Linked DNA regions of Lytechinus pictus. Each later gene encodes a partner of the first gene's protein in a complex. Links are inferred from orthologs where the notes say so. Each region holds a gene or a part of one and is shown on either strand. Other genes may lie near its edges.

What was found.
Region 2: the proteins of protein lin-9 homolog (region 1) and protein lin-52 homolog are in contact, whole or in part, in a crystal structure (PDB 6C48), measured with the Homo sapiens proteins. The link is inferred for Lytechinus pictus from reciprocal best matches to the Homo sapiens genes LIN9 and LIN52. Residues at the interface, in NP_001353174.1 of Homo sapiens: Leu335, Gly336, Phe338, Phe342, Leu343, Ile344, Val346, Thr347, Leu349, Ser350, Lys351, Leu353, Met354, Lys356, Lys357, Ile360, Leu363, Arg364, Asn367, Thr368, Ala370, Glu371, Lys374, Ile382, Phe384, Gln385, Tyr388, Ala389, Val392, Leu395; in NP_001019845.2 of Homo sapiens: Asp61, Met64, Leu65, Leu68, Gly69, Leu71, Thr72, Thr73, Leu76, Met77, Val80, Leu83, Gln84, Leu86, Ala87, Leu90, Asp93, Glu94, Glu97, Met98, Arg100, Gly101, Leu104, Asn105, Ile106, Leu107, Glu108, Pro110.

What each region holds. Positions count from the first base shown.
Region 1 is NC_087253.1:17,762,356-17,778,173, reverse strand, and holds the start of protein lin-9 homolog, read left to right. Parts: upstream 1-7,906; 5' UTR 7,907-7,950; coding exon 7,951-7,972; intron 7,973-11,113; coding exon 11,114-11,238; intron 11,239-12,522; coding exon 12,523-12,639; intron 12,640-13,161; coding exon 13,162-13,421; intron 13,422-15,818. UniProt on the Homo sapiens protein: Acts as a tumor suppressor. Inhibits DNA synthesis. Its ability to inhibit oncogenic transformation is mediated through its association with RB1. Plays a role in the expression of genes required for the G1/S transition.
Region 2 is NC_087251.1:29,393,826-29,409,534, reverse strand, and holds the start of protein lin-52 homolog, read left to right. Parts: upstream 1-7,884; 5' UTR 7,885-7,915; coding exon of another isoform or gene 7,916-7,946; coding exon 7,947-7,971; coding exon of another isoform or gene 7,972-7,999; exon of another isoform or gene 8,000-8,014; intron 8,015-8,171; coding exon of another isoform or gene 8,172-8,270; exon of another isoform or gene 8,271-8,455; intron 8,456-11,772; coding exon 11,773-11,841; intron 11,842-12,602; coding exon 12,603-12,637; intron 12,638-12,934; coding exon 12,935-13,004; intron 13,005-13,542; coding exon 13,543-13,626; intron 13,627-14,370; coding exon 14,371-14,438; 3' UTR 14,439-15,709. Other genes in the region: probable sodium-coupled neutral amino acid transporter 6, read right to left, coding at 332-456, 1,480-1,580, 2,601-2,680, 3,456-3,611, 4,067-4,208, 5,032-5,113, 5,997-6,036, 6,224-6,350 and 3 more.

The DNA.
Region 1 (15,818 bases):
GCCAGCTTTTCGTATTTTAAATTTCAAAAAATTGTGCTTGCTTGCGGCTTTGTAGAGATTCCGCCTCAATGTTGGTCTCTCCTCAACTATTTTTTGCTCTTTACGCCAATACCTCACATTGTTACATAGGAGCACTATGAATCCCATCTCAAAAAACATGCAATGTTGTCTTTCATAGCCCCCCCCCCCCCCCGTTGAATCTTTGCCCCCCCCCCCCCCCCCCATTTGAACCTCCGAAAGTTTGAAAAATAAAGGAAAAGTTTGGTAGAGAAGTCGAACACCATTTTTTGCCCTCCAAGATTACCATCACCCCTTCCCCCATTTTTATTCCATTTAGAAGACCACATTTTGTGATTTTTGATAAAGTTCCCTAGAATAAAAAAAAAATCAAACTCTGGCCCTGACCATATCGACCTCCACCGGCCCCCACCAGTTTCTTCAGACAAATCATCAATTTGCCTATATATACACTTCGTATGATTTATGGGACTTGTTTCATATACCTGTTATAGTAACAAATTTGCAATAAAAGTTAAAAGCTACTGAAATCCCTCAAACTGATTGGCTGATAGTGAAACTGATCATTTGTTATTATAACAAGTTTTTATTTTAAACATGACACTACCACATGGTTTAATCTCACTTCGTCTACAATCTGTTCGTCTGAATTTTTTTCATTTTCATTTCATTTATTTCAAATCAAATCAAATCGATCAAAGCAGGAAAACATATAGCAATATTTTATGTAAATAATTATAATCAAAACGATCATATAAACAGGTTAGGAATGGGGGAGTCTGATACTCGAGTGGTCTAATCAATTATTGTAATTTGTCTAAGGGGTCTCGTAATCTAATTTCAGCTATAGGCTAGCATATACACATTTTGTCTAATTATCCGTTAAAGCTATGCCTAACACTTAGGACGCGTGTGGGGGATAAATTGCCAATTCGTCCACTGCCAACTCGTCTGCTCACCACATTAGTCTAATATGCCAGTCCGTCCATCAACATTTCGTATAACAACCATTTGGTCCATTAACCATTGGTCCAATCATCACTTTGTCTAACCAGCATTTCGTCTATGACCATTTCGTCTCATAACCAGTTGGTCTAAATCCATTTCATTTTCATTCATTTGGCACAATTTAACGCTTAGTCCAATTAGACCAATAAATGTATGGACTAAATGGCTATTGGACCAACTGGTTTCGGACGGAAAGGCATTAGACTAAATGAAAGTAGGCCATGTGGTGAGTAGACGAACTGATGGTAGACGAAATGATAGTAGACGAGTTGGAAATTGGACGAATTTGCATTAGACGAAACCGTGTGGGGTGTGTAGCAAGAATGCAAAAATCTATTGGATGTCGAATAAACATCAGTTTCATCTTGTATTTTTTTGTTGTTGGGGGGGGGGTGAATTTAATTGCAATTGATTGTTGATGTAGGCCTACTCGTTACAACAAGGAGTTTAAACTGATTTGCTATATATAAGGGCCTATATTGTCAAACTGCAAGTCTGCAACATGAATTTCATCTAATTGCAAATGTATGGGATAGAAAGTGTTTCCAAACCAAACTTTCATTATAACTTGACAAAGTAAAAAAATAATAATAATAACGTCGACGAAGTGAAATTAGACCAACTGGGTATTAGATCTAGACCAAGTTCATATCATGCGAGCTAATAGATGATCAACTAGCTTAGCCCATGTTTAATTCCTATCTGAAGATCGAGTAGACCAACTTAGCTTAATTATTGCATGGAGTGGCACCATATTCATCTGCATGGGGGCATGCCCCCCCCCCCACCCCGCCATTCATTGTATTGAACTGAAACTCTATTCCCCCCTATGAAGAAATTCAGTAAAAATCTTCGCTTGGCCTTTCCAATCATTTCTTTTGCCCTCCACTTTACCCCCCCCCCCCCGTGGCGTACCTGGCATATTTCGTCGGGGGGGGGGGCAAGCGATAAGGATGAACAAGGTGGGGGCTAGTAGGCATGGACGTATATAGGCACAATTTTTTCAAGGGGGCTGATAATCATTGCCCAAATATCACCATCACAGTTTTTAATTTTCGATCGAGCGAAGCGAGCGAACATTTTTTTCAATTATTATTTAGCATTTTTACATGATGTGAAACATGCAGAAATTATACATTCGGTCATAAAATTACCAATACACGAGGATATTTGAGCACCTCGCAGTCCTCGTTGCCCTGAATTTTGCAGCCCACCCCTATATACACGTTTGGATGTGTAGGTCTGGCAGTGACAGTGAAGGTGGAAAAGGTTACCCAGGGGTGCCCAATAAAACAGTTTGAATCTTGCTACTACTGATATTTGCCATCGGGCGATTGCACTTTATTGTCAAAATTAATTCTTTTTTTTGTATATCATTCCAGAAATGAAATGTATTGGATCCAGATCGATATATTTCTAATCAAGTGGTAATTGCAATGTTTATATTAATTTTTTTTTTCTTTGAAGATGTTTACATTATGTTCCCAATTCTGCTCATTTGGAGACGTTATAAATGAGGTATTTCACATTGAAATCAGTTAAAAATAATAATATAAAAATAATAATTGCGAGCGCGAAGCGCGAGCTGATTTTTTTCTAAAAATTTAGACCTTAAACGATACATTTTGTGCACTTAATAATGTATAGGATGGGTATCTTCCTAAATAAATTATGCGAGCGCGAAGCGCGAGCTAAAATTTTTGATATTCCTTACTAGACAACTAGACATTCTGAGCACTTTCAGTAACCATGAACAAATTAGTTTCTAACTGAATAATAAAAATAATAGTAAAGGTATATATTTACCCAGGGAAGCCACTTCAGTTCTGAAAACTATTCTCCCAGTGGGCCCTGCTATTATTATTACTCCGGCTGTAGCTGGGCTGCCTAGGCGCTCAAGCATTCAGACAATTTCTTCCTACCGGGTTCCCATTCACCTCACCTGGGTTGAGTGCAGCACAATGTGGATGAATTTTTTGCTGAATGAAATTACGCCATGGCTGGGATTCAAACCCACGACCCTCCGTGTCAAAGTCAGAAGACTAATCAACTGGGCCACAACGCTCCACACGCGAAGAGCGACCTGAGGATTTGATATATTCCCCCCTGAAATGTGGACATTCTAAGCACCTTTTTTATATTTCGACCTGAAAACTTTACATTCTGAGCACTTCATTTAATCATGAACAGGATGGAATTTTATGCGGGTGCGAAGCTCGAGCTGAATTTTTCATATTCCGACCGAAGAACTTGAGCAATTTTGTAACCGTGAACAAATTGCGCATGGTTTCTAATGATATATTTTTGATTTTTTATATTCCGACCTGAAAACCGGACATTCTAAAGTAAGAGAAAGTATTCTAATTGGTAAAACTATATCTATTTGGAGTCAGCAGCGCCCTCATCACGCAAGAATGGTGCAAAAACTCGGAAAAAACAAATTTTAAAAAACGTAAATCTACTCAAAAATTAAAAAAGTATTTTGTAAGCTGCACTTTTTTCAAAATCCATGTCATATTTTCATCAAATTCGGATAAATTGTAGAGGAATGCATATCAAAGGTGTAGGGAAGTTAAAAATATTGGGTCCATGTGCTCGTTTTTTAACTATGAGTGTCCAAAGTGATGCGAGTTGGCATGAAAATCGCCCAAAATGCGCGCAAAACTTGCAAAAGTCTAATAATGCCACTGGCGTAAATCCCGGGGGGGATGGGGGGGATATATCCCCCCCACTTTTCGAGGAGGGGGGATGGCCTGTACAAACATCCCCCCCCCCCCCACTTTTTACGAAAGAAATGAAAAAAAAAATCACAAGAGATAATTGTTTTATTGGTGAAAATTCTTCCAAAAATACCGCTTAACAAATAAAATAATATTATTGAATCATAAAATGCAAATAAAGAGCCAGTTCACCATTTCCAAACAAAATACTAATGTCCTTATTATAACATTGAAGAGAACCCCCCGTTTCTTCAAATTCATAAATGTTGGAGTCTTTGGGAAGGGATTAAGATGGAATGACAATTTTTTTTTAATGTAATCTCTAATAAAACCATTAAACCATCATGGGGTAAAAAGATAATAATATTGGAGGGGTATTTGCCATATGGACATACAGTGGCGTAACTACGGGGGACATGGGGGGCACATCCCCCCCCCCCCCCATCGGCTGACAAAAAAAACGGGGAAAGGGGGAAAGGAGAAAAGAGGGAGAAAGGGAGAGAAACGTAGTGGGAAAGAAGAAAATATTATTCATTATAATGTTATATTATAATTATGTTAAGTTACATTACATAAGAAACATTTTTATCATAACTTTATGAAACATAATTTGCCCAGGGCCTACGTCTTCATTGTTCCTGTTGCTCGCATTGTCTGTTTAACGAGATATATAATCATGTTGTACTAAAACATCCCGTTTTCAAGTCAATATAAACCAAATATATTTCCTAGCACTTGAGTTATCATTGTTTTATGTAGTGACATGTGCTTCTTTTTCATGACTCAAAAGTGATTGCCCCATGTTAAGGTCTTCGTATATATGAAACATTTCCTGTCCGTGATTACGTTCGCATTAGTGGATTGGTGAGATATGTCTGCTCTTCATGAATTCCTAAAATCAGTCCTTAAAATGTCCCTTCTTCTGATCTGATTAACAAAATTTTTCAGCTCGCGCTTCGCGCTCGCATCATTTGGTTAATGAAATACGTATGGTCCAAGTTAATTCCTACAAAGAAACCTTAGAATGCCCCACTTCAGGTCTGAATTATCTAAGTTTTCAGCTCGCGCTTCGCGCTCGCATTGTTAAGCGAGACAGGTACCTATCATGAATACACAAATTTGATTATAATGTCCCTTTTTAGGTGTGAATATTAAAAAATTTCAGCTCGCGCTTCGCGCTCGCATTATTTGATCAGTGAGATACATATCCGTTTAATGACATTGTCCTTAAAATGTCTCTATTAGGTCACTCACTCAGTCATTCAAAAATTTTGCTGGTGCCCCCCCCCCCCCAATGCCGTGACACACGGTACGCCACTGTGGACATATCAATGACAATTCCTTGCATATCTAAAAACATGATTGCAAAAAAATGCCAAAATATTTCAGTCATCCCCCCCACCCATCAACACGGATTTACGCCAGTGAATAATGCCGTCTAAAATGAGAATGATTCCGTAGTTTTGCCCCCGAACATTCAAATTCCATTTCATTTTCATCATGCTCTCCAGATTTGTAGAAGAATATATTCTGAAGGCATTAAAATATTGTAAATATGGGGTCCATGTGCTCGTTTTTAAACTACTGGTGTCCCAAGTGTTGCAAGTTGGCTTGAAAATCGCCTAAAAAGCGCCGAAAACATGTAAAAGTCTCTTAATACCCTCTAAAATTCAAATGGTTCCATATTTCGCTTCCAAACATTCAAAATCCATGTCATTTTCATCATACTCTCTAGATTTGTAGAGGAATATATTCTGAAGGCATTAAAATATTAAAAATATGGGGTCCATGTGCTCGTTCTTAAACTGTCAGTATCCAAAATGTAGCGAGTTGGCTTTAAAATATTGAAATCAACCTAAAATGCGCCGAAAACGTGCAAAAGTCTAATGATACCCTTTAAAATTCAAATGGTTCCATATTTCGCTTCCAAACATTCAAAATCCATGTCATTTTCATCATACTCTCTAGATTTGTAGAAGAATATATTCTAAAGGCATTAAAATTTTAAAATTATGGGATCCATGTGCTTGTTCTTAAACTGTCAGTATCCAAAATGTTGCGAGTTGGCTTGAAAATATTGAAATCCACCTATTATAAAGTGCGCCGAAAACAAGCAAAAAATATGATAATACTGTCTAAAATGCAAATGGTTTCATATTTCGCTCCCAAACATTCAAAATCCATGTCATTTTCATCATACTGTCTAGATTTGCAGAGAAATATATTCTGATGACGTTAAAATATTAAATATATGGGGTCCATGTGCTCGTTTTTGAACTATCAGAGTCCAAAATGTTGCAAGTTGGCTTGAAACAGCCTTAAATGCGCCGAAAACATGCAAAAGTCTCCTTATACCGTCTACAATGTCTAAAATACGAATGGTTCCTTAGTTCTGCTCCCAAACATTCAAAATCCATGTCATTTTCATCCTACTCTCTAGATTTGTAAAGGATTTTATTCTAAAGACGTTGAAATATAAAAACATGGGGTCCATGTGCTCATTCTTAAACTATTAGTGTCTAAACGGCTGCGAGTTGGCTTGAAACAGCCCAAAATGCGCCGAAAACAAGCAAAAGTCTTATTATACCGTCCGAAATGTCTAAAATACGAATCATTCCTTAGTTCTGCTCCCAAACACTCAAAATCCATGTCATTTTCATCAGTCATACCCTCTAGATTTGTAGAGGAATATATTCTTAAGAAGTTAAGACATTTAAACTATGGGGTCCATGTGCTCGTTTTCAAATTATCAGTGTCCAAAGTATTGCGAGTTGGCTTGAAACAGCCCAAAATGCGCCGAAAACAAGCAAAAGTCTGTTAATACGGTTTAAAATGCGAATGGTTTCGTGGTCTTGCTCCCAAACATTTAAAATCCATGTCATTTTCATCATACTTTGCACATAGTTACTTTAGCACCTGAATATTCCAAATATGCAAAAATTAACATGGGTCCATGTGCTTGATTTTTTGGTATAGAGCTTCAAAGTTAACCCCAATGGATGATGTTTTTAAGAATTGCGCATCCAAAAGAATTTGGCATTTTTAGACCTCACGAGATCACAACAATAATAATTTAAAGCTCTAGTACTCAGTCAAAATCCATGAAAATTTTATCAAATTTCGCAATGTAATTAATAATTGTATCCTTACGATGGATAATGTATTTATATTGCTATTAATTTTTTGCTTTTCAAGTCTAACAGCACTCTCAATTCTTAGAAATTGCGCGAAAGATAACAAAAACTCAACCTCAAAAATGTGAAATTTCAATAACAAACTTGAGAAGTACAAGAAATGCTGCACTTTATTCAAAACCCATGTCATTTTCACCAAACTTTGTAAAGTTGTAGAGGAAGGTATACCTAAGAGGTGCAAACAATATAAATATGGGTTCATGTGGTTGTTTTAAAAACTATCAGCATTTATTAGAGCAAATGTGCTTTTCAAAGCACCCCAAAATGCGCCAAAAGCTTTGTATCTATGTGATGAAAAATTCCAAACCACTCTACCACTATTTTATTCAAACTCGGGGTCATATTCGTCATACTTTGCAGCACTACAGAGTAAAACATTTTGAAATTGTAGAGGTATTTAACAAAATGGTCGACGGAATAATTCCAGTTTATTAGCTTCATAAGATAACACATCGGGGGAGCGTTTCATGAAGGGACTTTGTCCGACAAGTTCTGTTTTATCCGACAATTACCATAGTAACAGTACCTCTCAGCCAATCAGAATTAAGGAAAGATGTCAGATATGACAACTTGTCGGACAAAAATGTTGATGAAACGCTCCCCGGATCTGCAGTTACTGCAAATAGGGAGAAAAATCAGCTCATACCTACAGCTGAATAATCACCTGTTCATCCATTGTGACGTCAGCGCGCAGAGTGTAAAATATGCACAGAGCATGATGCGCACAAACATAACTGTGGAACGTCCTTAAACTCTTCTTTTTCCCCTTCCCTTTTTTCTCTCTTTCTTTTTTCCTCTTATTTCCCCCCTTTTTTCGTTTTTTTTTCTGCTTGTGACTCGTCGGGGGGGGGGGGGGGGGCAGTCTGCGCTCCCCCTTAGGTACGCTATAGTGCCCCCCCCCCAACAAAAAATCTTGGTGCCGCTGCTGCGCTAGTATAATCGCTTCGCGATCTAAAAATAGCCTAATATCCCACAATGCATCTCGTTTCTTCAAAAAGAGGCGCGTCAAGATGGCGGACACAGCTCTTGAAAGTTTGTATCAAGTTCATTGCTTTTACATTTAATCTGTGTTGTATGCTTATTGGAGTAGATAATGAGATTGATGATGAAAGTGAGATAATGGTCTGAATCAATTTTGGCATTATTGCTGCATCTCTGTGCTTCCTAATTGCAATTACTTTCGTGACGGTATTCCGCGACGCTGGTTATTTTCCAGTCCCATATATTGAAAACTGTGTGGTAGATCTATCGCGAAGTCATTGCCTTGGCCTGGCGCAGTGGCCAGTGCAGTGACCAGTGTCAGTGAAACTAAAGTTCAATCTAGAACATATAACAAATTTAAGAATCTGAAGTATGCGTGGAGAATGTTAAGGATCTTGCCATTCATTTACTCCTAACCTGCTAACATTAGTCATTAGACAGCTGGCAGCCGTCTGTTTTTAATTTTATTTTCAAAAACAAATTTCTCCTCGTCGTACACAACACAGACATTGACACAGACGGCTCGCTATCGTGCAGCCACCATTATGCTGGTTAACAATGCAAAATCCCCCGATGGGGCTCATCGATTTTTGTCTTTATTTCATAAAGATTTAATATATAAAAAGAACTGGACAAACTAAAGACTAAAGTAAAGTAAAGATTGTTCAATTCTGTTTTGGCCAGAAATGCACCAAAACGGGAAAAAATAAACTTATAAGTGGAAAAATAGTGACTTACTTCGGCTGTCGCGCAACTCCAACTTCCCTGGTTGATCCGAACTTAATATATAAACATATGGCCGTTGTTTTTTACTCCCTGTACCGATCGAGTTAGAACTTCGGTCTCTGTAACTAGTGACAGTGTAACGTTAATTGGTGAGTAGAGCCAACGCAACCACCAACATACATATACAGAGACCGAAGCTTTTGGTGTAGCTAATATAAGAGTCAGACTAACGACATGTTAGAGTTAAGTCAAATGTATTGCTGTACACACGCATGGCCAAATTATTTCCAAACACCCTAAATGAGTTTTTCTATGTGTGCAAAATAATCCCTAATCAAGTTTTTCGCGGGCTATTAATATTCACACATTTTGGCCCCTAAACAAGTTGTCGCCAGAATATGACCCCGGGGCTGGGGAAAAAAACAGAGGTTCTAACCTAAACTCGTTTGGCTAGTCTTTAAAAAAGGCTTGCCTTTGGAAAAAAACACCCTAAATACATTTGACCAGTCTTTCAAAACTAGGCCTACCCCTTTTTTAAAATCTGTGTTTTTGATACCCTTGACGAGTGCACGCACGGCCCGCGTCCAAAACTGAAAAAACACCCCTTTAAACGTTTTTTTTTGGTCACGCGTGTGTACAGCAATATATTTGACTGCCCCCCCTGGAGTTAAGTACTTAGTTAGTCTCGGCATGCTGCCTGAAAAGTGATGCGAGTCGTGATTATCCGATTTATTGTTTTATCGAGAAATAAGTCAAAATGATTTAAACTTAGACAATGATTTTCTTTTAATTCTTTATTTTTATAGATTCTAGATCTAGTCTCTATATTGAAATCTCAAATAAAAAATGGCAATATCGCTTACCTCGGCCTGGAAAGTTGTTTTGCCAGTTGTAGAGGCGCACAGCCAATATGGGAGACTGTCTCCCATGTGGGAGATTATCTCCAATATTAGAGACTTTTGTAAAGAATTTGGGTATCCAATTTCAGACACAGTCACCAGATTGGGAGACCAATTTCTTTTGTTTACATTTACTGCAAAAGAATTACCTTGACGGCAAATAAAAATGTGATAAGCAGATTCCTCATGAAAAATTACCCTTTTTAGACGTCTACTTTAAAAATTCACTGTCTACTTTTGCTTTGATAATGATTTTTTTTTTACCCACACACAAAACAAAAGGGCTTCTGACCTAAGTGAGACAAAATTTTGGATGGAAAAAATTACGCTTTTGTTGGTATTGTTTTATTCTTTTTGCAAAGCAAGTCTCCACTATGGGAGACAATCTCCCATATTGGAGAGAGTCTCCCATATTGGCAGTGCGCCTCTACTGTTCGCATGTCTTTTCCACGCCCACAGAAATAAAACTAAAGGAAGCCCAGTATGATAGTGCTAATAAATTTCACAACCTTAATTTAGCGCGTTGGTAAATTGTCTAATTCTATGTATGCGCAGTTTCTATGATTATTTGATAAAATATCGGCACCAATAAATGCAATAAACATACTTTTGAATTATTATTGGTGATGATAATTTTTTATAACTTTTTAAAAAATCATTTAAAGTGACGACAAGTTTATTAAAAATAGAAAAATTCTATGTGCCTTGAACAAAACCAGCAGTACTAACTTTTATTCGTTTGTCCATAAACGATATACCAAAGTCTATACAAAGAAAATATTGGACACTTCCCTGACTCTCGTAGCACTTTAGATCTACCGGTACATCGATTTGCGTGTAAAATAGTTTGAGTACCTAGCAGTAGAGGCGCCGGTCAGCATATTGGGATGGTCCCAGTTGACAGGGACTGTCTCAGTTTTCAAAGAGTTATCCACACAAGAAATCTAGGAAAGTTCATTCACCTGTCAAGTGCCGACATCAATCGAGTGTGCTTGTCAATGTAAACATATCAGGTTTCATAACATTATTGGAAGACGGCAAGTCGTGAAAATGATGGTGAACTGGGGGAATGGAGGTCACTGAATATATTTGTTGCACTCTCAATCCCCGTAATTGCCGTCTATGTCCTGCAGGGGTAAGTGAAAAAAAATTCCCCATAAACAAGGACAATCTCAATTTATCAAGACACAATTTGTCTTGGCTTATTGAGGATATCCTTGTTTTCTGGGACAATCCCAATTTTTGGAGCGGCGCCTCTACTGTAGTAGTGTCTTTGATATGAATATAAATCGCGCGCCCTTGTTAGACAAATACGGCCCTCGTGAACATCAAGAAAAATACAGGGAATAATTTTGATTAGCATTTTTGGTCATAAGAGAAAAGCTCCCAACTAGGATCTGTACAGTCCTGTGTCAAAAGACTTCATGTATACAGTAGCAGTAGAAATAAATATGGAGCAAATTGCGATGCAATACCAGTAAAATCATTCCCTGTGGCATCATAACCATTGTGGCCCAAGTGGGTGGTGTTCGTTCCCTCACTGTTTTTTTTTTCTTTGCTAATGCAGCATCTGCAGAGGCTTTGATGAGCCTGAGAAGTGCAGGGAAGGCTAAGCTTTCCCCGTCACCGGCCCCTAGTCCGAGTAAGGCATCACCATCGAGGACTACTCCATCCGTGCCAAGGAGAGGGCATGTAAGTATGATGATGATAAAATACATGTATTAGTGATAATGATGATAATCCAAATTAGTGATAATAATGATCATTGATATGTATGATTGTGATATTGATGATAATAACAATAACTATACTTCTACTTCTTTGAATAATCATGATTAGTGACAATGATGATAATCAAAATGATAAGGGGTCGCATTTCATAAGTTGGGTATGCAAAAAGGGTGGCGTATGAACAATTTTCCACACGGTGCCATGGATAAATTGTTGCTACATCACAGCATCTTGACCAAATTTATTGAGTAATATCTCATTTTGAAGCTAGAACTATAGGCTAAATATATTACTATGAATTAGATCAATACAATATCAGGAACAAAAACTATAGCACATTAAGTTTGAAATAACGGGTGGCGGAGCCGGTGGATGCGGTAAATGATAAAATATTAATTAAACCTAATAAACAACTTACTATAATATGTAATATGACTGTTATCCTCATATTTCTGGGCATTTTAAAGCAGGGAACAACTAAATGTCATAAAAATTTGACAATTTTGAAAATATGCAGCAATGGAATACATGTGTATGTCAGCTCTGATCTGCAACCTAATCAATTAGTAAACCAGAGAGATTTGGTTAATTATCTAATTTGTAATCTTGATTTTTAGTACAAATGTTGTGTATCATTGCAACAAACATTTCTACCCATGATGTTGTCATTTTGCCAAGCATATAAATACAGTGACAGGTATTTTGGGGGCAAAAATGTGAAATTAAATATTGTTAATTAATTAGTATAATTAATATGCATACAATGATAGATAATTATTCAATTTTTGGTACAGATTTAATTATTGATGTTTCAAGATTATAACTGCAATTTACTAGGGTGATCTAATGTTGCATTAACTTTTGACACCATTTTATGTGCAGCAGGTCCAATTTGAAAAAAACACATTTCAAAATTCACATTTACATGGACGTCTATGTAATAATTATCTGTTAATTAGTCATTTTAAGGAAAAATAAAGGTATTCGAGACTTAAAACTTTTCCATTATTTAGAGAATGGTAATAGCTATAACATATCAAAAAATAAAATTTTTGACAATTTTTACCCTGTTCGCGAAATTGGACCACCTTATGACATGCAACCAAGGATGATAATTCTGATGATAACAATGATCATAGTAATAATGATGGCAATGATGATGATGATGATAATGGTGATGATGATGATGATACAGAAGAATAACTTTTTACATTTGAATGTATCTGTTTCAATTTGTCATCCCAGCCCACAAGAATCCGGAAGAAAAATCGGAGGATATTCAACGATGATGAGGACACATCCATGTCTCCCATTAGGGCTTCACCGAGCAAAAAAATTAAGATGTCGCCATCTCAAAGAACAGTAAGATTTGATGTGTTTTGAATAATGAGGGCTATTTCATCAATGCACTTGCTAGCAATCGCAATATCAAGGTTTATGTGGAATTTAAATTATAGCAAATTTACAACAACTATGTAAGTCTGATGAAACGGGCCCCGGGTCATTCCACCCCAACTTAAAGTATTATTTATTTATTAGTCTTGTTTTGGTAGGATGGCTCCATCAGTAACTGGCATACTGTTGTCTTGGAGGCCCTACAAGAAAAGTATAAATATTACAAATATAATTATGAAAAGCATACAATGTAAAGTTAAGACAAACAACCTGAGAAGAGAACATAAAACAACACAAAAGGCCAGATTATAGATTAAGGCTATTATAATGCCAGAATAACAGAATAAATTATTCCAAATGGATGTACCAGCAAAACAAAAAAACTACTCTGTATATTGCATTTGAAGAAAAAAAATTTGTGTCAATGATTTCAATATCAATACTTGCCTTTGATTAAAAACAAATTCCCATCTACTCCTTTCTTTGCAGCCCACAAAACTGAATATATCAATCCCAACGCTCGTATCCCCGCCCCGTCCTAGTGCTTCCAAGTCTTCTGCCCATAATCCCTCCCCCGCTCCGATGCCGTCCAAGCCGTCTTCATCCGCCAGCACCGCAGCAGGGGGAAGCGGCCATGTGTCTTACAAGAAGTCCGCCCAGAAGCTGGGACAGCGCCTCAAGAACCTACTGAAATTGCCCAAGGCGTACAAGTGGTGCATCTATGAATATTTCTACTCAAACATTGACAAGTAAGTTCAGGGCCTAGTGATATTTAACTTAGTCATAGATCGTTGGGCTGAGTGTAATACGATTTATTGTTTATTCGGATGTTGTTTGAAGGTTTGCATGGTGGTATGTACAATCGTTGATGTGGTTTACGGTACACCATGTGAAGTGTTGTAGAAACAGTGGATAGGAGAAGAGAAGAAATGGATAGGCGAGAAAGTGGAGATTTGAGAGTAGAGTATTCTTTCTTGAAAGTAGTCCTGAAAAGGACTGTAAACCAGGAAAGATTGATGAGTTGAGAACAGCTTGAGTAGTAGAGCTAGTGAGGAGATGCTGGCTTGAGTCGGCGAGTAGAGATGATGAGTAGTAGAGAGACTCGACGTTTCGGGCAGGTTGACTGTCCGTCTTCAGGAGTGTTTATTGTAGTCAATGCAAACAAACCATAAAAAATGTTCTATGATGATGACTAAGCTTTGTGTTACAGGTCCAGGACCCAGTTATATAGGCCCGTATTCTGAACTCAGGTTTAAATTAAACCCTGGTTTTAAGTTGTGGTTTAACTATGGAAAGCCGATTGGGGAACGGATCCCTAACAGTACCAATCCTCTCTTTTATCTCAATTGACACTCACATTGTTGATAATTGTTTGGGAATGATAACTGAAGCATATTTCTTCATTATGAAAGCAAAAGGAAACGAATTAATAAATATTCGAAATATACAATATAAACAGAATTTTAGAATATTTGGCTCCCCATAATCTCAGCACATAGTAAGACTGGTCTAAGTTAAACACTTCAGAATACAGACCATTAAGTTTAGTGGTTGATAGTTGAGCTGATTCCTACAATTGTAAAAATAATTCCTGTGATCAATGTCTAAGCTTTACGTTATGGAGCCTTAGGATGTTGTTTGATAAAGCTCTTAGAAAATTTTAGTGTGATTTTACAAATGACTAGAACATGTTTTTACGTGCTAAGTTAGCAAAATAGGAAATATCATTTAGCAGAAGATAGGGCCATCAGTCGTGCATGAAGTCATCCATAACTTACAAACATTTTTTGACATGGGACCCAGGCCCCATGAAAATGCATTGCAATTGATCATACAACAAAATTAATTGAATTGGATTTTGTATCAGAATTGTGTAGTTATATTATATTGGATGGCTCAGAATGGAATACCAGAAATATTCCAAGAGTTTGGGCAAATATTCCACGAATCGTAGATGAGTGGGATATTGGCCCTAACGAGTGGAATATTTCTGGTATTCCATGAAATAAAGCCATCCAATATAATTTCATCTTTCCCACCCCCAGCAATCAAAAAGAGGGAGAAATTTGACTGAACAAGTCACATCGCTTATCACATAATGGCATCATTACTTCATAAGATAAAATTTGGTAGTTGACATGCGACTTACATGTAGTTCATTATGACGTCATTGAGCGTCGTGCTCTATGCTGCGCATCGCATTGATTTAATTCTACGCATTTTATATTTCATGCATTTGTGCATGTGCACTATACTGTTGAATATGCTCTCATAGTCAATAGCAAATTTTGTACAGGAGCCTATGGGATATTCTTCAGATTTTGGTCCATTTAGGGATACGCTCTGATACTGCACAGGCAATTGATGCAGACCGAAATATGCTTTTTTTAATGCATCGCTAAAACTTTATAGATGATGATAAATAATAATCCTTTATACAAAGCTCCACATTAACTTTTTTTGGTGGTGGCCCGTTCGGGCCACCAAAACCATCAAATAATTTTTTTTGGTGGCCCGATATTAAAGTTTGGTGGTCCGAAAAATATAAAGAAACACATTAAAAATTAATAAAACAAACTTCTGAAATATTAATTCTGCAGCCACTACCACTAAGTTACTTTCACTTAATCATCTTGTATGTAAACCTTGTTTGCTGTTATTTTACTTTGCTAATTGGCTTGTGGTAAAATATAAATTGTTTCTATCGTTGTAAAAATGAAATGATTGAAAGAGAATAAATGAATTTTATTGTTCGCAGGTTGTGTGGACTTTTTTTTAAATCTCTGTATAGACACACACTCATAATGGTAAAATAAATAAATAGTGCATAGTAAACTAAGATAGATGTACAAAACAATGGTTTTTCATTTCTTCCTCTTTGAATCCTAAATCCTAGATTATGCAGGCCCCAAATCCAGTTTATTTCTGTTTTCTCTTTTGCAGCATATTATAGCAGGAGAAAATCACAGAAAAATATGCTGCAAAATTAGAACAATGCATAAAAGGGGGAAACAAATGAAAATAATTTTCAAAAAGTATATTACAAAAAGAAAACAAAAATAATAAAAGAAATAAGTGAAATAAAACAAAAGAAAGAAAATGAAGAAAGAAAAAAAAACAAAGAACAGGGAAAAAAAAGAAAAGAA
Region 2 (15,709 bases), on another chromosome or scaffold:
AATTTTGACACTTGACGAGGCTGAGTCATACCAAGAACTTTTTAAAATGGGACCTTCTGCCATCAAGCCAATCACTCAGCATATTAGAATGGAAAAGGGTGTTTATAACAACTTATCATGTTATGCAGGGCCCAATGAAAGAAAAAATTACAATGTTGAAGTGGCTACCCTTGGTAAATATCATATATTGTTATTATGACTGTTATTATGATCATGTTGAGTCAGATGTAATAAGTTGAGTACCAGAAATGCTTATAAATCAAACTGGAAAGTTTTCACATTTGGTTATCCATTTTTAAGCCACAGATTTTAACGTTTGGTCCTGACTTACAGGATAGTGTATGATGGGTACTGTGAAGACAATGGCAGTAAGAACAGCTATTCTGATGATCAAGATAAGAAGGTCATCCTCTTTGTATTCGCTGTAGCCATGGAGTATCTCACTATTGATACCATCTGTAGATAGATGAGAAAATAATTAACAAGCACAGTGAACAAATCTCTTCATGAGTTCTTTTATTAGACCAAGTATAATGTAAACTGAATGGATATTTTCCAAACTGACAGTAGACCAAATAAGCCCGTATGATAAGTAGACCAAGTGAAAATAAACTATATTATTATTTAAATCTAGGGTTTTACAGGCGCAGATATTTTTTGACGTCTTGCACGCTTATTTCAAAGAGACAAAATATTAAAACTGATTTTTAACGTGCATGCCAATGAAAACCATCCAATATTGAAAATATTGGACGAAATGAATATTTTGCCCCACCCACAAGATTATCATTGGTTAATAAATGATTGTGCGCATGAAGCTTTTGTTACGTCACAATGAAATTTCGTCGCGTATTAGTTGCCAGGTGTGGTAAAGGAGAGTCAATTTATTGAATTCAAATGCGCTTGCACTATACGCTTGCGCATCTTTACTTCATTACAGAGATTTCTTTTTTTTTAAATGACAATACTCAGGCGCCATGCTCATGATTTACAGGATTGCCATAATTGATGGTTACTAACCTTTTTTTTGGGTTCATTACTTTATTTTTAGCTTTGTGGGGGTATGTAAATAATAATAATAATAATATTGGATGACCAATTTTCGTGAGATGCGTAGAAATATTGTTACTCGCTGAAGAACAATATTGGATTCGTCTTCGACTCATCCAATATTGTTCTTCAGCTCGTACAATATTTCTTTGCATCTCACTCAAGGCCATCCAATATTTCCTAATTATCACCCACATTCTCAACCTTAATTACATATTCATCACTAAAAATGAAAAAAAAATGCTGTTTTTTGCTTGTCAAATTTTTCCTCGGGAAAATGGGCCCTCCCCCCCCCCTTGGAAAATCCTGGATCCGGCCCTGATACTCATGGCACTTTTTAAAACCAAGACTAGTCACATTATGGAGGCTACAGCAGAACACTCTCATCTGAACCAAGATTGAGTATTCCCTCTCCCACCATAAGCTTACCATAGAATGTAAGATATCCAAACAACGATGCTATCATATACAAGGTGTAACAAACTCCAATAGACGTGATAGTAACATTCTGCATCCTGCGCTTCGTTGGTCTACAGGAAATTGCAAAAAGAAGAGAAAGTTAGTATATATATGCTGCAGGTGTGCATTATGTTAATATATCAGAGATGATCCTTTTTTTTCTTTTCATTGCCAGAATTTCTCACATTTGCTGGAATATTCTCTGTCAAACTATATCAAGGTCATGCATTTATCATGAACATATTGTCCCATTATCATATGGTTCATATGCTTCCAAAAATAAATGTCATAATAATTTGCAATTTCATACAGATAATTCATCACTCAAATTCTTGATTAAGTTTGATGATTATATACATTTCATTTAATTGTTGCCAAATACTTGTTTTAACAGATTAGTGGATAATTGATGTTGATGCTGACAATTTATTTCAAAAGGTGAATTATGATATTATATAACAATTAATCCACATCACAAACATTCACATAAATAAATCTGAGTATAATGTGTTGTGGTTTTAATGTAAAGCTTACTTTTTGAGAATAAAGGTTATATCAGCTATTAAACACAACAAAGCAAATATCAAAGTTCACCTTTGATACCTGATTCTATGTACTAGTATATTAAAGGTAGAAGATAGTAGTTGCAACAAACAATTATTTCATGAGAAAGTCTTTAAAATCAAGGTTAATTGTCAAAATATCATCATATATCTAGATCTGGTACATTAAAGTAAGCTTATCTTTGGGAAATCATGAAATCTTAGCTCACCCTTGTAAAAAAGTACCATACAGTACCATGGTACACTATGGTATTACCATAGTATTACCATAGTAATACTATGGTAATACCATAGTATACCATGGTACTGGATAATTCTGATGATCATTAACACAGAATAGCAAATGTGGGATAATGTAGGCCCTATTAATATTGCTAGGAAAAATACCCGACATTTGATGGAATTCCGTGCTTATTTTGCTGATTTCTCAGCAATTACGCATTTTCTTCCAGAGCCTTTTGGCACATAGGGTGGTAATTTTATTGGATTCTGTTCAAACTTTTGAGATTGTTACCACAACTGGTATACCTTGATAATTCTGCATAGATTGGAAGTACTGCTGTGTGGCACACGAAGGAGAAAGCCATTGTCGGTATAGTGTATGCTGTCTGATGGTGAAAGTAAAGGAAAAACAACAAAACAATATATATGATAACAAACAAACTGAGAAATGATGCATAAAAGAGGGAATGGTGTTTGAAAAGAAGAAAACTGACATTAAATAACTTTTGCACTAGACATATCCATTGCACACAGAATCTGCACATCTCAGACTTTATAAGGGTCTTCCTTTCTTTAAAAGCATCGTCATACGCCCAAGAAAGCCAATTGGATATTGGTGAAATGTCTCAACAAGTAAGCTGTATTTCCAGTGATTTGATCTGAAGTCTTTATATTCAAATATGACCAGATGGATGAGAAGAATTTACATCAGTTTGTAGTATAGAATGATTACTATAAAACAGCTAGGCAGGTATTTAATTGAAAGTATTGATTCTATACGGTAAGTATTTTACTGAGCATTTTACTTGGCTAAGCAAAATGCTTAAACTAGTGTTCAGATCACATCCAAGTATTTTACTTTCTCAAGCCAAACTTAGATTTAATTTCAAACAAAGCCCAAAAATGCAAATTGAATACCAAACATGGTGAAGTATTTTACTTCAGCAAAATACTGAGTAAAATACTTAAAATTCTGGCTTAAGTATCAAATTTCATTTCACTTGAAATATGATCACAACATCATAAACTAAACACCAGATGCTCATTTGATGACAAACTTACAATTATGGTAACTATGCCCAGTAGCCAATCAAAATCAAAGTATCCATAGTATTTATGAACAGGCCCATATATGTACAGTCACAATAATGGGATTGTTACCTGAAGAGTGATAGTAAATAGCTTGGCCTTGCATTGGTTGGTCTGGTTATCTTTAGGATGGTAGTACATATAGTTTTCAAACATATTCTCTAAAGTGATATTTGGTCCTGGTGTAACAGGAATAGGGCATGGAAATCCATACTTCTTATACACAATCTGGAGAAGAAAGCATAAGAAAACATTTTTTTTGAGAAGGTTATCCCTTTGACAACATCATCATCGATGTACATCATCATCCACATCATCATTAACATCTTCATCATCATCACCATCATCATCAATCACCACCACAACCATCATCATCACTAGCATCATCATCATCATCACGAGCATCATGACCACCATCACCACCATCATCACCATCATCACCACCACCATCACCATCATCACCATCATCACCATCATCACCATCATCATCATCACCATCATCACCATCATCATCACGAGCATCATCACCACCATCACCGCCATCATCACCATCATCATCATCATCACCATCATCACCATCATCATCATCATCATCATCATCATCATCATCATCATCATCATCACGAGCATCATCACCACCATCACCACCATCATCATCACCATCATCATCATCATCAACTCACCCCCACTGTGAAGAAGACCATACATAGAATGGAGAAGGCACTGGTGTAACCAAGGAAACCGATCTTTGGCAGGCAAGCCAGGGGGAGGATGACCAATAACACAAGGAGTAGGACCAAATAGTCACCATTTACATACCATTCACTGCATTGAATTAGGAGTGTAATAGAGTACTGAAGTGTGACATGATGAAAATACAAATTTTGCATTTCATTGTTTCTCATGTCATATCTTGGAGGTGCATGACAGCTAAAATTTGCTAGGAATTGGTTCAACGGGGCCCAAGATATGACCACATCAGGGGCCGCGGAAACGGGGGGCCTCGAGGCCCCGCACTTTTTTCCAAAACGTGTACAAAAACGTAAAAATTACCATCTGATTATGTTTTTTTGCATAGTCAACCCCCCCCCCCCCCTCTTTAAAAACCGTTCCGCAGTCCCTGCACATGAATACTGAATTAGCCCTATTGAAGTCAATGTATTATTGGCCTGGTTCTAAATAATTAACTTTGAACTTGATTATGTGACTTGAAATTAATACAAATGATGAGTGATGTCCAAGTTTTATGAAATATAAATAATTTGATTTCTATGTTATGATGAAATTTCAAATTTTAACCTTGGTTAAGATTTTGATGATGATCTCTGTAGCCGCAGGCAAAACAATTAATTTCATATAAACATAAAGTTCATTTAATGAATACATGCATATTCTATATTCAAGTAAGAAGGCATTTTGATTTTGTTGTACATGCACTGCATGAAAAATCTGCATGTTATGCTTTTGCCAGTGAAAATTTTTGATTTCCGGGTGAGGGGTGCATATTTTCAATGCTATTAGTACATCAATGTTCATAATAACCTGCCTCAGAGGCAATTTGACATTATGAAAATTGAGATTGATCAAAAATATGATGAAAATAACAATTACAACTTTAAAATTTATGAATACTTGACAAGACACTTACTTTGCAGTCTGGTCTTCATGTAGGAACGTCTTGAGAACTGCTGGCATCTCATTCTTTACAATAAATAGATAACTTGACATAGCTGGGAGGATAGACAAAATAACATTACTAAGTAAAATTTAATATAAAATATTGTACTTTCAAGTTCTAATCAAATGACTGATAGTGATGACATAAGTAATCACAGAATTTGTGACATTGGTCATTATATTTTTATCACAAAATATCTTGATAGTTTACTTCTAAATACAAACTATTCTTATTTCAAAGGCATTTGGCAAACATTATTCAATCAATATTTTCTGTCAATATGTATGCAGACAATACACTAAAAAATGTTGATAATCTTTTGTTTCCCTTTTTAAAGTTATAGAATTTCAAGAAACACTGAAATATACCATTCCTTTTAAATTGGAATCTAGCCCATCAATACTAGCATTCAAATGAAGGATAAAAATATATTATAAGCCCCTACCATCATCAGTATTGAACTCAATTCTTTTTACCAGGTTAATTGCTTTTAAGGTATTTGTCTTAGTGATTTATTTATTAGTCCACTTTCCTAAATACCCATTTATTCATGAGCTAAGTTTGAAATTGACCCGTAAAATCATATGGTTTTCTTGAGGATGAAAAGGTGGAAGGACAGATGACCCTAAAACATAATGCCTCCAGCAAACCACCTTGAGGTTTATCTTAATTACATCGGAGTAAATCATATTACAAAGAGGAAAGTTAATTGTAATAGACTCATCACTCATCATTAATAATGGAGTAAATCACCCCTAATTAATATTACTACTGATATGATGATGATTATGATGATAATAATAATAGTAATAATACTACTACTAATAATAATAATATTAATAATGATGATGAAGATAATAATAATAATAATTATAATTATAAAAATAATAATAATAATAATAATACAAGAACTAAATATTAGATCCTCTACTCACCACCAACATTTTGAAGGAGTATAGCAGAAGCTGCCATTAGCTATAACAAAATCGACAAAAATTCTCATTGAATTTATTTTAATACAGTTTCATAAATAGGGAAGGAAATGAGACAGATAGTCAGAAAATAAAAGGAGGGGTTTTATCAAGAGAGTGCACTAAACTAAGACATGACACTAAAATATGAACATAACATTTACTCAAATAGTAAGGGACTAAAAGCTTACCTTGCCTGGGACACCCATTGCACTGTTCCCTATATCTTCATATGACCTATGACCTGTGATGTCACACATCTTCAGAAGGAGGTGGATTGTGTAGTTTGCCATGACAGCGACAAGCAACAGCATCACACTATGGAAAAGGACAATAATAATCATTAAAAATACTTGGTCTATCTTCATCCCCTGATAAATTTCATTGTCTTGAATGTAAATTAAGATACACTTCATAACCTGCCATATTATCATAATGAATATTTTGATCATCATAAATGCCATCATCATTATCATCATCAATGTCATGATCAACATTATTATTCAATTTAACATTTCAAAGTATAAATCCAATTTACAAGAACATATATAACAAATAATTACAATTGACAAATAACACATGCATCTGCATATTTCTGAGAGGCATTTATCATTTTATGGGTGTTCATCCCACCGCTGCCACCATAATTGATGCTGAAAGAGGTAATTCCTAGTGTAACCTAATATTATACTAACAATCAGGTTCAATGGCCATTTGGTCCAATCACTCCAATTGCCACTTGGTCTAATTCCCACTTGGGCTAATTGTCATTGAGAAAGAGATATCAAATGGTGTTAGTAACACTTCATCTGATGACCAAGGTCATTTTCAAAAAGTTACATTTTGCCTGATCTTACACGTTCACATATACAACTTGATTATCAATTATATTTTCATGAAGAACTTGAAATCAGGATTGACTCCCTCTGTATAATTAGAAAAAAATAATATCATATTTCACGCTTTGCACTTCCCTTTTTTTCCCTTTTTTTTTTGCTTGGTGGTGAAACTTGGCCCCCATAGCTTCAAACTTTCATGAAATGGATCAAATGTGTAATACCTGAAGAGGATAATACCAGATTGTGCCATTGCATAGGGTAAGCCCAAGATCCCACTCCCTAATATAGCGTTCATCAAATTGAAAACTGATAGTCCAAAAGATGTCTTCCCTGATGTAAAAGGTTCCACTCTTTCCGTCATTGCCTCCTGTAGAAAAAAAGATTACCAATAAACTTTTTAAAGAGAGATAGAAGGGAAGGTAGCACGTACGGGATGGCAAGTGTCTATATTAGTGACTAGCAAGGATGGGCCAGGATGTAAAAGCGTTATTAGATCTATTCATTTATTTATTTATTGCAAATGTTTATCGAGAGTAGCCTGTTAATTCAGGCCCTTGATACAAAAATATACACAAATATAACCACTCATAAAAAATTACTCTGCATTATTATCTTCATACATAAAAAACACAAACATGAAGAAAACAAAAACATTTCATTATAAACTTAGTAGTACGATCATGCATGATGACGATTGATGAATTGTTTGGATTGATGACTACGGTAGTCACACAAAGGGACTAGTACTAGTAGTACATCAATTTTCATGTTTTGTGTTGCAACTTGCATGTTGTTGTTACTTGACTTGCCTGCTGCACAGAAGCTGAAGGTAATAAAGGTGTATCATCCATAATACCATGGTATACTATGTTGTTTGATTGTTCATCTGCATCTTCTACACAGCTCCCGCCTAAGCGATGACATTTTGGCTCCATTTCTTTTCTACTAAAAAGCCTAAAATGCTAAATTAAAGGTATACTATTAACTGCACAGCACTTAACTTTATTCATTCATTCAATATCAACGAAAATATAAACATTGTACCTGAAATGAACGGTAGAGGGCTCTTGTGAAAATGGCGTCACCAGCCGGCAGTGCGGGTAAATTTAATTTTTTTCTTCTTACCATTGTTCTAACTTTCAGGGTGTAATGTTGGGTTAATTTTTTACTTGAGTATAATATGAAGGTAATTGGAATTATCTTAAAATAAAATGTGTATATTGTCATCTTAAAAGTACAGTCTTTTGACATTGTGGTGTTGTTGCGATTGCCGTGATCGTGAGTGTGTGTGAATGAATACCGTAAGCTTTTCTGCAGACCACCACGCTCCGCTCCGGTGACTGTTCGGCGAGCTCCTGCCTTTAAAGTTACCCTGGCTGTACCAGCAGCTTGCTTTCATGATATTTGGTGGAAATGCACTTTCGTATCCATATGCATACAGAATGGCCAGTAAAACCAGGGTGACCAGATTTCACAAATGAAATACGGGACAATCGACAAAGCACAATGCACGAGCGGATCGACTGAGCCATGCAGTCCTTGTCTTGATTTTAATTTTTTTTTTAAATGAACAAAGTCAAACTCAAAGAAGGGCTAGAGCCTAGGCCACTCATTGGGCTAGGCTAAGTAAGTTAGCTCTAGCCGACTTTAGTTTTGAGTTAAAATTGTAACAAATTTAAAAAAAAGGAAGGGAGGGTAAATGAAAAAATGAAGGAGAGAAAGAAAAGAGATGAATTGAGAAATGAGAGGAAAAAAATGAAGGGGAAAAAAAGATAACCGAATAAAAGAAGGTTGAAACGGCAAGACTTCCATATGTCCCCTCCACTAAAATTGAAAAAGAAAAAAATATGGAGAAGGTTTATCAAGAATTATCTAACATGTATCTAAGAGATTTAAGAAGGAAAAGTTGGATACATACCAAAATATGGCTTTATTCCGTCAAAATTTCGAGCGTGTGTAATTCCCAATGGCATCGGTTTATTTAGTCAGAAAAATAAATGCCCAGCCCAATACTCTTGGAGAGTAGACTAGTCGTAATATCAGTTGATATGAAATTCATACATCACAGAAAATGCCTCTTCTTTATTTGTTGACTAAATTTCAAAATGTTTCTTCTCTGTCATTTCAAGTATGATGATATATATGATTTTCTGTTGACCGATTTTGATTTTTTTTCTTCAATCTGGTAGAGCTGCATGAGGTTCACCAAACTTGTACACAAAATTTTGAAATTTTGTCTAGAAAATTATTTATGCTAATTTATGCAAAATTTATTCATAAACACAAAAAATGTTTTTTCTTCTTCATTTGTTGATCAATTTCAATTTTTTTTGCTTTATATGATAGCTCAAGGTGGTGATTCAAAATTTCAACACAGAATTTTGAAACTCATTCAATATGCTAATTTATTCATATATTTTCAAAACTCACAAAAAATACTTATTTATTTGTTGATTGATTTTGATTATTTTTGTTCCATCTGAGAGCTACATGAGGTTCACCAAGGTACTACACAGAGTTCAGAAATTTTGACGAGAAAATTATTTTTGCTTAATTTATATGAAATTTATTCATAGATTGCAAAAAATGCTTCTATGCCATTTCTTCATCAATTTCAATTCTATATCCTCAATTTACCGTATGTCACCAATATAATTCACTAAAGTGTCAACTGGGCTGAAATTAAAATTGTGTTAAATTTCGCTGCGAGATGCAGGATGAGCTCCACATCATTGATGTGCTAGTATACAGTCACTGACGGTAAATGGATTTGTGGCCTTTTTCAAGAGTTATCTTCAAATGCCAGCTTTTAAATAAATCAATGATTTTAATTGGAACAAATTACGAAAACTGTATGCATATATTGTTTATGTCAAACACACATATCAACCTATTGATGAAATCTTAGTTTCAGGCAGAATTACTATATAAACATAAAATCAATACCCCAAAACATACATCATTACAATACACAGGAGTGATGATTGCCAGGAAGATTATGGCAAATGGCAGTGATGAAATAGTTTACAGTCAGACCGCAGGTCCCTATGCTAATGAGCAAAAAGGCCAGATTCATCCAAATCATCTCGTGGCTGAATCCTCCTCCTTGCAAAATCTTGTGATTCGTGAGATTTTCTTTCTCTAAGAATTTACCTGTTTTAACCTCAAGTTAAATGAAATATTATTGCACCATCAGATAGAGTAAAAGTTACTCTTTCATATTGGTCATTTATTTTGTATACAATATTTTGTTAAATAAGTAAATTTCTGGCCTGAAAATGTGCCTCAAAACTGAATTTTCTTCCTCTGTTTTCTTTTGCAAATTGCGCAAAACTTTTTATTTTGAGCCTCTATGATATTTATATCAACATAAAGCTGAACTTCTGTACTTTCTCACAATGCCACTTTTGATATGCAGCACCTTTTAATCGGGTCAAGATCACACTTTTCCCACCAAGGTACAAGACGAGATTTCAGAAATTTTGTACTTGCATGAAATCCAGAGTTCCGATTGGCTGGATAAGAGTCACAGAACAACAGGCGCAGGGTATTTGAGGAGATTACCACATGGGAAGTGTGACCTTCCCACGAACCCAGGCACTGGAACCGTTGGAATTTGCCAGTGTGCGGTCTCTTTGACCAATCAGAATGCAGTATTCTTGTTTTCAAGCTGCTTTATGTACTTGGCAAATGAAAAGTGTGGTCTTGACCCGATTAAACCAATTCTTATTTTGAAGCCTATATCATTTCAAAGCATACATATTCAGCTTTATCGTGATATAAAAATCATTTGGGCTCAAACAAAAATAAAGTGTGAAAATAGCAGCTTTTGTCAGGTGAAAATATTTATTTTGTAGCATATTATTTTAGATCAAAATTTTAACCTATATTACAAAATCTTTGAATAAATCCAAACACATGACCTGAAAAAATGATTCTTCTTCTTTACAATGGTACCAAATTCATGAAATTCGATGCACAATTAGAGCAGCAATGACCGAATGAAAAGAGGTGTTTTGGTCCGCATCAAGCTCATTAAATATGCAAAACATCTCAAGTCATGAATATCACTTGGATGAAAGAAGCCACTTTCTTGGGACCTGCAGTCTGACTGTTTACAAATTAATCTTCCTCGCCTTAGCTGCTGCAAGTTGATCAATGATGAGATCAAAATTGACTCTTTCAGTTTCTTCTTTCTCCACACTCAGTAGAGCTAGATCACATAATTTGTCTTGGCCCATGGAGGCTCTCAAGTATGAGAGGATGAGTTTCAACTTGCTGAATGATCGCTCACAGCTGGCGATAGATACAGTGATTGTGAGCATTATCTGAATAGCAATGTGAAGGTCTGGGATTATTGCTGTAGTTGTGCTTCTTTTAGGCCGTAATCACATGAAATAGACGTAAAGGGAAAATTCAGATTTACTACCATGGAATACATGTACGCGTCACTCTTGCATGGAATGTCTGTCTTCATTAGATGTGAAATTATCCAGTCTGGCAGTCTCAGTTCTACCCATTTATTGATTGTTGATAGTCGTTGATTTGTTGCGCATGCAATGAATTGTGCAATTAATGATGTTGGGAGCCCTCTTGAGAATGAATTTAAGGCAAGCATGAGATAAAGTTTGCATTTTTCAATTCATTTCTGCAAAATGTCTGCTACTATGCCTACTTGCAACATTTTAATTCATTGTATGCTGCTGCAAACTTTCATGCTTGCCTTGAATTCGTTCTCAAGAGGGGGCTTGCGACAATTGGGCAATAGATATGAGACAACTGGTTATTTCTTCTACTCAATCAGCACTTTAATTGCCTATATGTTGAAATTTTAAAGGGTTGGATTGACAAAAACTTCTCACATTCACACAATATGTTTGTTTGTTTCTTTCTTTCAACAGATCTGGAAGCAACTCTCCTGAGTTTTGAAAGGTTGGACCGTGCATCCCCAGAGCTATGGCCTGAGCAAAGTAAGTGTTATTATATGGGGTGGTTTGTCAACATTTGAAAATCCAACTGTGTTCACAAAAAAAAAACTGTTATAAGTCCCCTTACCTAACGCTAGTGCAACTTAGTGGAATATGGTCAAATCATTACTAACAGAGATTAAACCAAAAAGGTGGTGTATAGAGATAAGGCCACCGCACACCTTACAACTGGGCCAAGATTTGATTATGGAACAAATCGCATTTTGCTTATTTTCTGAAAATTTGAATAAAAAGTATCTTTTTATTTGAGGATCAAATTAACTGAAATACTTACATGTATATAACAATTTTGGATGATTACCAGCCTTTATTTTGGAGTAAAGCCTAAATTAGTTTCAAATCGTAGCCAATTGTATGATTGCCATGAAGTCATTACAACTAGATATTAAATTTGCTTTTATTCTAATAAGGATGATAGCATAGTCGCAGATTTAAACATAGGTATTCATACAATGATTTAGAACATTACACAGTAAGATATTCCATGTCTCAATATTAGCATCAACTTCTACTTCGTTTTATTCTAAAATCTGGTTGCAGACCAATCGTAAGGTGTGCGGTAGCCTTAAGGCATTTGAGATGATTGGTTTAATACTCCAAATAACACCCTTTTGGGTAGAGTGTATCAGTTCAGATTGGTCTCAAGAAATGCTTGTTATTTATATTATGGTACACTATTTTATGGAAAAAAAGTAATTAGTATGAACTTTATTCTTAAGTTTTCTTTTCTTTTTTTCCCTCAGTTCCTGGAGTATCCAATTTTGCTGATATCAAGAGTGTAAGTGCAATGTATACAGTAGATTTATTCCACTGTTATTTTTGCCTATCCCCCTCCCCCTATTTTGCTAAGTGCATGAATTGGGATGGAATTAGAATTGGGATGAGAATATTTGGGGATATATTGTGAACAGTTGACCATTCTGATGAAGTTTTGTTAATATTTGCTCATCAATCTTATCTATTTGACTATTCCATTTCTTTTACATTTCCATCCTTTAGTAAATTATACATTCCCATATCTCCAATGGCTTGACATTATATGAATAATATGAATTTTTCAATATTTATTTCTTAGCCTTTCAACAATGCAAATTCACCGCCTTGGGAAGCTGATTTAGAGAAGAATGACATCGATATGCTCAATGGTAAGGTTTTATTGTTTTTTATAGCCATAGTATAGCACATAAAAAATCATTCGGCCAAATTTAAGAGATGGTTTAGAAAATTTATTTTGAAAACATAGTTAAGTTTATGCAAATATCTATCTTTAATTATGCATGAAGCATTCATTAATAATTGACTTTAGTTATACTTTTACCATGTGACATTGAAGTTACAATTAATATTATGATTTAAGCCAATCTTACAATTCATATTGTAAGTTTATCACAGATAATACACCAAAATAGGGTTGATAACGATTGTAAGATTTATTGTATCTTACGTTAAAGGTACAGAATTGTCATGGGGGAATCGCTTGACCAATCCCAAATTTGCTGAACCCCCCTCCCCCCCCACAAAAAAAGTAGTATTATTGGCACTGTTCATGTACCCAATTGATTTTGGATAGGAAAAAGCTTGTGGAGATACCAGTTGCTTCATAGTCAAAGCATGAACATGTGTTTTCTTTTTTATTATTATTTTTTTTCTGTATTTATATAATTTTGTTTATTTCCTTGACAGAATTGGGTAGTTTAACCACAGCCAATCTAATGGAGAAAGTAAAAGGGCTGCAGAATCTAGCCTACCAACTTGGCTTAGAGGAAGGTGAGTTTTGACATTCTTTCATCCAATCCTGCTGAAATGGGGAGATCCCGTCTTGATACCTGCTGGGTTGTTTTGATAGAAGCGGTAGAATAAAAACTGGGATGCTTTATAAAGCTGTCCATTAAGTGATATAAAACTTAAATGAATGATAGAAATATTACCCTTTTTCTATCATATTATTTCTCCCTTTATTTTACACACTCTGATTGTGCTCAAGGGGGCATTTAATGAAAGTTATCAGCACTGACTTAATTGTCAGTGCTGACAATTTCAGTGAAATCCTTGCTTTTGATTGGCTGAGAGGCACTGGCATCTGACTGTTACCATAGTAACTATCAGAGAAAATCAACTTGTTAGTGCTTACAACCTTCATGAAACGGTCCCCAGGATGCTAGATGCTATTTGAAAGATAGTGGGTAAAATTTGAGAATTAATATGTAAAACGAATGGAAAGTTGTCCATTTGAAGCATATGTTGTAGTTTGAGAATCTCTATAGAAAGTAAAATACTTTGAATTTCCATTAGTCTTTTTTTATAAATGATTTTGATTACACTTTTTTATATTGATCTTCTCATTTTACTCTTCTCAGATTTATTCTCTCCTTTGGTTTTGGTTTCTTTTTAAGCTTTATCATATTTACCATTCTATTTGAGTTGTTTCCAATATCATTATTCACCATACTCTTTTTATTTGACAACCATAGTTGTCTTACATTGCCTTTTTTTTTCTTCTTCTCTTTGCAGCTCGTGAGATGACTAGGGGAAAGTTTTTGGATGTTCTATCAGGTAGCAACAAGAATAAGAAGAAATGAAAATTGTCTATAAAATTCATCTTATATAGCAGAGACTCTGAAATGATGACAAAAAGAATGATCACTCAACTGATATTTATCTGCCTAAAGATTAGATAATAAAAAAACAACCAAAGCCTTGGCCTTGTATTGCACAAAAGTTTGCAATGAATACCAAATATGAAAGAACTATTGCGATTGGTCCTGATCCGTATTTGAACAAGATGCAGATGCAACAATGATCTTGATTGGCCAATGGTGTTTAGCTATTGGCATCCTTGCGTTACGGAGTGCAGGGTGTGTTTCATAAAGCATGTTGTCAACCTTTTAACTGACAAATTGGTCTAAGCACATCAGATGCAAGGATATCAGTTTTCAGGGAAAATCATTAACAAATTGCATCATGAAATATGATTTGGATCATACTTTGATTTTCAGCTGCTGGAAGTCCTTAGATACCGATATTGGTCATGTAAAGCTCAGAGGATATTTGTTATGAGTCAGCTCTCCAGCAATAAGGTTTTGCATTCTGAGAACAATAGGCCATTTCCTTGCTGCAATCATATCAAATACAAAAGTCTTGTGGAATGTAATATTAAATCCCTCCCTTAGCCAATGATGATAATAATGATAATGTATTTCAGTAGTATGAATGCAATTTAAATTATTTTTGTTTTGTGCCACCTCGCCTGGGTTATTTTAGTACAGTGTACAAGATGGGTTTGGCAAGTCTCTTCATTGGTAAATATTACAATATTTTCATTCCCCAATTGTTTTTTAATCCCAATATTTTTCTTGTTAGTCTGGGGGGGGGGGATTGCTATAGATTGTGTAATCACGACAAAATTTTGCTGATTGGTAGAAATCATTGTAATCTCAGGGTTTGGAAAGGTACATTTTTCTACATAGTTTTATTTGATAATGATACATTAATGACTTATGGTAGAAAGAGAAATTGCATTTGGTGTGTAATAAACCACCCCTTCCCCGGGCTATGTAGGGTTTATGTGAACCTGTAATTAGATGTTATTTATGTTTAGTTTACATAAAATTCATTTTTTTCCTAATCTGGTTGTAAAATTCATGGTCATTTTCAGACATGTTGAAGTCTGAAATTTAGTAGTATTTATTGTGTCATGTAGGAGTCTTAAACAAATATGACATAACCACATTTTTGTTCAAGATAAATTTTAATCTAAATTCTTTATTATTCAATATATTGCATACAATTCTTGTAAACATTTGTATAAACACATTAGAGAAAATAAGGCATGAAATAAAGAAAGCACTAT